2 separate regions of the Mus musculus genome follow, and region 1 is reported to be linked to region 2. The links are microRNA targets in miRTarBase. Many come from high-throughput screens and were not tested one by one. Region 2 holds a microRNA gene; the other region holds the end of a gene's coding sequence.

Region 1 (3,409 bases), not on the chromosome of region 2:
GGAGAGGTGGTTCAGTAGTTAGGAGCACTGTCTGAGTTCAATTCCCAGCAACCACATGGTGGCTCACAACCATCTGCAATGTGATCTGATGCTCTCTTCTGGTATGCACATGTACATACAGATAGAGCACTCATACATAAAATAAATTAGTATATATAGTAAATGAAAAAAAAACCTACACGTTCAAATATTCATGTCTGTTCACATTGGCATAAATTCTAAGAAACTGGCCCAGGTGGTATAAATTTGTATTCCTATTTCCTTGAGAAGTTGAGGGAGGTGGCTCCTAAGTTCAAGGCCCACTTGTACTACAGCGTGAGTTCAAAGCCAGAGTGGACAACTTATGAAAAGTAAATAAAATGAAAGTCAGAAAGGGGATTGTAGGTGTAGCTCAGAGGTGTGTGTGCCTAGCACGTGCCAAGGCCCTGGGCTCAATCCCCAAATAATAAAACAATGATAATAGCACTGTCACAGCATCGCATGCCTATAATCCCTGCTACTTGGGAGGCTGAAGCAAGAGCATTGCAAATTCAAAGCCAGCCTGGGCTCTCTAAGCCCTGGACCACACAGGCCACCCTTCCAAGGGCAGGGCCGGGCACCTCTGCCTGGATTGGATCAGGTCGTCTTAGCACTTTCAGACCTATGGTTGAAGAATCAAACAGAGCAGTGTCAATGAACCCAGAGGCCAAGGACACAGAGTCAGGACACAGCCCCAATTCCCTTTGCCCTGTGTCCTAACTGCAGTAGGTCTGCCGTGGCCGCCTTGCTCACTTCCAGGTGAGACCTTGCTGCCTCTGGGTCTCTCTTCGGAACCTGAAAGCCTGCTCACTGTCTTCAATGACACATGGATTCTCTTCACAGGGTGTGGACTCTTTGACTTTAGAAAAGGAGACTGCGTTTCCACAAAGGCCCCTTTCAACTGTGACGCTCCAGTGTGTTACATGAGGACCCTAATTCGCATCCCTTAAGGTATTCCATGCATGAAACAAGTCCCGCAGACTGAAAGAGGACCCTGAGAAACAAGATGGCTCTGGGGAGCAGGATGGGGGCAGGCAGTCTATTGTGGCTGGGGAAGGGAGCAGGCCGACCTGCGAGGGTGTGAGATGTCACTGTGAACAGCTGAGATCGCGAGCAGCTGACAGCTACACTCCTTTTCCACCAAGAATGCGCCCATGTCCCCTCCTGTCATGCGCAGAAGACTCAGGAAACCTTTGGTGAGGGATCCACCCTGACAGAGGATCCCAGCCCCAGGGAGCAGTGGACAGGCACATGGCCTGAGGGAGGTTGTTTCAATCAGAAGAGCAAGGTCAGGAGAAGAGAATAGCATCTGCAGTCGTCAGCCACCCCTGGCCACACACAGTTACCCTCAGGGACCTGGGAGGGGGAGGTTGCTGGTACCAAGGCAGGCTGGGTCTTCAGGCTTCATTCTCCTGGAGCCATCACCCTGAGCCCACCAGACCTGAAAGGCCACCCACCTACTGCCTCTCTCAGGCAGTCTCCGGTGAAGACTCGAATTCAAGATCTGCAGGGTGGTGGTGGCACATGCCTTTAATCCAGGCGCTGGGACCTCCAGGCCAGCCAGTCTACAGAGTGAGTTCTAGGACAACCACGACTGCAGAGAGAGAGAGAGAGAGCACCAGCCAAACCCATGTCTCCTGTCAGGAAATCAGGGCTCCCTGGTCCTGAGACCTGCTAAGGAGAGCTCACTATGGCCAGGACTTCTGAGAGCTGCTGATGGCTGGACGAACGAACCTGAGCAGCCCCTGGGTTGAGCCCCTGAGCAAGACAGACCTCAGACATTCAATACACTCCATTCTTTCACTCCTTACACACTCCGCCCCCAGTCATCCTAAGGACTCTACCCCCACCCCAAAAGCTGACCTTGGGGTTCAGAGTATTGGGGTGCCTAGAGCTCCCCACAGCACTAGGCAAGGGGTCCAAGCCTGTACCTCACCTCCCAGCACCCTGTCTGAGAAAAATCCCCGACATCACAAGGTCAAAGGCCCTATCACCTCTTCTCCAAACCCAGCCACCCCACCAGCTTCTTCAGGCAGGGCAGCCGTGAGTCAGTCATTCACCGGCTTCTTAAAAGGGACTCCAATTTATTTATTGAAAATATCACAATAGCTGGGCACAGTATCACACACCTTTGGTCCCAACACTTGGGAGGAAGACACAGGAGGATCTCTGTGAGCTGGAGGCCGACCTGGTCTCCATGGTGAGTTCCAGGCCAGCCAAGGCTACACAGTGAGACTCCTCTGTCTTGGAAAACCCAAAGAAAAGGAAAGATCATGATAAATAGAATGTCAATATCCTTCCTTATACATAAAATCAGCCAATAAAAAAAGGACACCATTAAAATGAAGGATTGCTATAAAACTCTGGACAGTTCCCAGCTGCTCTCAGCTCCGGGTTTGCGCCTGGTAGAAGATTTGTGTTCTGGGAGAATACAACATACTAAGCCTTTCTTATTCCTGCTTGTGCTTTTTAGCGGAAGCCCTATGCCCCCTAAAAACATTCCAGGAAACCACAGGACTCTCTTTTTCAGCAATGCTGGCCCAGAGAGTCCCTCTGCCTCCTGCAGCGGGAGAAAAATCTACAAAGCCGGTCTCATGCCCATCACACCTTCTGAGCCCACCCAAGCTCCCTCCCCCTGTGCATGATGTCGCACCAAAGCCCAGTCCAGTCAATCCTACTGAACACTCCCGCCCTCATGAGTCCCCCGGAGGTCACCGCTGACTCAGGTGAGACACCAGGTAGACCAGGCCCACAAGCAGGAGGCCACGAACCCCGAGCATCATAAGCAGGAAGAGCAGGAGGATGGAGGTCACAGGTTCCACCACGTGGTTCCCAAGGTGCCATTGTGGGAAGCCCATGTTCACCAGCTGCCGGTTCAGGTCACTGAAAGGAGATTGGGCAGCACCCAGTCGGGCACCTGCCTGCTGCTGGCGGGGTCCAGGGCCCCCTGGAGGTGCGCCGTGGCCTCTGTTGAAAAAGCCCTGGAAGGTTAAGACAAGACATATGAGTCCAGGGGAAGTTTCCTTGGAATTGAGGCACCAACCAGAAGACTCCCGGCTGCCCCCCCCCCCATGGCCATCCTATAACCATGCTTCCTTCCTGGGACCAACCAAGGCACAAAATCTCAGAGCCTGTGCTCCCCTAACCATACCTGGAAAAAGGTGACCAGGATGGACAGGAGAGGAGAGGGGAGAAGCACGCAGTGAGTAGGTACCCTGAGGTTGGCACTCTCTCCATAACTGAAGCCAGCATCTCACCTCCATCCCACATTCTAGAGATGCTGGTTCCACTAGCGTTTGCAAAGCCCACCAAAAGAAAGGAAGTCCCTAGGTCTGAGGCCTAAGGGGGGCTCCCTCCCCAGAAGGCAGGAGCCAGACAGTTAGTCCATTCT
Region 2 (3,409 bases):
GATATTAGCCCAGAAACTTAGTATACCCGAGATATAAGATACAATTTGCAAAACACATGAAACTCAAGAAGAAGGAAAACCAAAGTGTGGACACTTTGCCCCTTCTTAGAATTGGAAGCAATCACCCATGGAAGGAGCTACAGAGACAAAGTTTGGAGCTGAGACAAAAGGATGGACCATCTAAAGACTGTCATATCCAGGGATCCATCCCATAATTAGCCTTCAAACGATGACACCATTGCATACACTAGCAAGCGTTTGCTGAAAGGACCCTGATATAGCTGTCTCGTATGAGGCTATGCCAGTGTCTGACAAATACAGAAGTGGATGCTCACAGTCAGCTATTGGATGGATCACAGGGCCCCCAATGGAGGAGCTTGAGAAAGTATCCAAGGAGCTAAAGAGATCTGCAACCCTGTAGGTGGAACAACAATATGAACTAACCAGTACCCCGGAGCTCTTGACTCTAGCTGCATATGTATCAATAGATGGCCTAGTTGGCCATCACTGGAAAGAGAGACCCATTGGACACGCAAACTTTATATGCCCCAGTACAGGGGAACGCCAGGGCCAAAAAGTGGAAATGGGTGGGTAGGGGAGTAGGAGGGAGGGTATGGGGGACTTTTGGGATAGCATTGGAAATGTAATTGAGGAAAATAGATAATAAAAAATATATAAAGAAGGAGATATCTGATGGATTTGATTGAGATTTTAATAACAATAATAATAATAATTTTCATTTTATCAGAGACTTTGCAAATGAAACACTGGACATGAGACATCACTCAGGTCTGAATCACTCATAACTCGTCTCCTCTTCTTTTCTAGCCAGTCTTTTTGCAGTGAGATACTTGTGTGGTTGGGGGTCACCACAACGTAAGGAACTGTCTTAAAGGGTGATGGGATTAGGAGGGTTGCGAACCACTGAGCTAGAGTTAAGCTCTCAGGCCTTAAATTTCAGCCTAAGGCTGAGAGCTGGGAAATGTGCAAGGTTTGGAGTCGGTAGAATAGCAGCCTGGGTGATGATTATCCCTTGCCTATGGTAAGAAGAAGTGGACAAAAAACTATCTGTCAAATTATAAGACAAAAGACTGTTTTCTATTTGTGGTTTATTTTCTTAACCTGAAGGCCACGTTGATTCTTCTGTGTTTCTTTTGTTTTGTTTTGTGTTTTTGTGGAGCTAATTGGCTGTATTAAAGTGCTAGTAAGAAACATTCTCCTCCAGCTGGAGAGATGGCTCAGCTGTTAAAGGCTAGGCTCACAACCAAAATATAAGAACCACTCTTCTCCTAAGAGGATGTTAATACGTTTCTTCAATGACCTGGTTTGTCAGGTGATTAAAAAAAATGGCTATCTGAACTTCAACAACAACAAAACCATTTTATTTTATTTTGTGTGCACACAGATGTGTGAGGCTTCACAGTTGGAGGTCAGAGGACAATTTTTCAGGAATCAGCTCTCCCCTTCCTTCGTGTGGGTTCCCAGGACCAAGCTCAAGTCACTGGGCTACAGAACATGACTTTGTTTCCCACAGTCAGAAAGACAGTACATTTTCTTCCTTCTGTCTACAATAGATCATCTTTTTATTGCTTAGTTTGATTTTACTATGTGGACATGCCTGTTAGTTTATCGGTGCGTCTCCTGCTCGTTGTACAAGCTCTTTGTTGCTGTGTAACAGATTTTCCAAACTGCAGCTGTTTAAAAAATAAGTATCCATTCACCCACTAACCATTTCCACAAGAGAAATGTTTGGTGATAACATAGTTAAGTGCCCCTATTATTTTCCATGATAATGAGATGCTGGCCAGGTTGTTCTGCATCTGAAATCCTTTGGAAGTTGAGCTGGACTGGAAATTTGTTTCTGAAGTGGCACACACCCAATCCTCAGTGCATAGTAGGTGGTCATCAAATTCATGTGGCTAGAGCAGTGGTTCTCAACCTGTGGGTCATGACGCCTTTGCATATAAGATACATATGATTCATAATGGTAGCAAAGTTATAGTCATGAAGTATCATGAGATACTTGTGTGGTTGGGGGTCACCACAACGTAAGGAACTGCCTTAAAGGGTGATGGGATTAGGAGGGTTGAGAACCACTGAGCTAGAGTTAAGCTCTCAGGTCTTAAATTTCAGCCTAAGGCATTTTAATGTATTTTCTTTCCTATATATGGTAAGCTGAAGAGAATTACTGTTTGAATGGAGATTGCTGATAATTTACACTTTCTGCTTTCATTGACAAGAAGTGACCCATTTCCCAATGGAAGGAGAGCTACCAAAATAACTTGTGAGTTCAGGTTTAGGGACTTGTCCATACTATAGAAGTAGGGCAGACCTGGTGGAGTTGTGTAAAAGCACCCTGTGCTTCAATCTCTGTGTCTTAGGGACGTAAGGGCACGCCACTCATCACATTTAGGTTTACAGACCTGTTAGTGGTTATTGTGCAGTGTACAGTGGATATTTGTTTTATTTATTTATTTGATTTGATTTATTCATGTCCAATGCAAGCACAATGGACAGGCTAACTTTTGTACCCCTTTGGGGGTTTGATATTATATAGTATGATAGGAAGATGGAATTGTTTACTTTATAAGGGTCATCAAAGTACAAGGGTCCCATGTGTCTGACTAGTCTATGTAATCACCATTAATGTTAAGATGGTGAAATGGCTCCAAGGCCACACTCAACAGGACCAGCCAGCCCCCTCCCCTCCCTGTGATCTTCCATTAGCAATGTCTAGATATAGCCCTTATTTCAGGGACACATCAGTGTAGAGACTGGGAGAAGAAGGAAGAGGTCCACTTTGTCATTGTTCTTTTGTACTCTAGTCTAATACGATGAAGTAGCCTAAGGAGATATGAGAGGGGAGAGCCTGGTATGCTGGCAAACAGCTACTGCTGACACATGGGCTTTGTTTAAATTCTGAATGGCCTTGTGCCCTGATTATCTTGTGTATCTTTGCATTTCACAGATCTTGTCCCATTCATTTGCTGTACATCCAATCTGGGTGTTTGGTAGATGACCAAAAGGTAGAGCCTTTTTCTAATGAATATTACAAAAATTAATAATTATGAGCCAGGGTCCTTCAGATAAGCAGAACCAGGAGGAAATTTATCTGGATTATAAGAAACTGGATTATGTGGCTATGGAGTGTGGTTATCAGCAAATGTGCACAGTTCCTGCCTGTTTTACTGGGCTGCAGGTCCAGGAAAAGCTCACGTTTCTCAGAGAAGCCTGTATGGGGCCATTTATTTTATTGTGACTTTTATCTGATAGGCAGAGGTCCACTCCTCTGATAACAGGCAACCTGTTCTACCAATTCAAGTGATTTCAAGATTGCTCACATCCAAAAGATCACCGACATCAACAACCCAGAGAATGAATACTTCATGGCCAGTCACATAATGAAAAA

What was found. Region 2 holds the annotated microRNA mmu-miR-690 (AAAGGCUAGGCUCACAACCAAA, at 1,248-1,269, shown strand). A microRNA usually pairs through its seed, bases 2 to 8, with sites in the 3' UTR of a target mRNA and lowers its output. Matches are read on the target gene's strand: a 7mer-m8 pairs with bases 2 to 8, a 7mer-A1 pairs with bases 2 to 7 and ends in A, and an 8mer does both.
Region 1: the mRNA of Fam241b is a reported target of mmu-miR-690. Seed matches in the 3' UTR shown: 7mer-m8 at 2,237-2,243.

What each region holds. Positions count from the first base shown.
Region 1 is chr10:62,106,125-62,109,533 of GRCm38, forward strand. It overlaps Fam241b (family with sequence similarity 241, member B), which reads right to left. Exons shown (of 4, transcript NM_027251.4): 4 at 1,532-2,999. The coding sequence ends at 2,730. Among named protein-coding and RNA genes, the nearest start is that of Fam241b, 3.2 kb to the right of the region's middle.
Region 2 is chr16:28,597,800-28,601,208 of GRCm38, reverse strand. It overlaps Mir690 (microRNA 690), which reads left to right and starts at 1,166; the gene lies at 1,166-1,274. It also overlaps a transcript of Fgf12 not described here.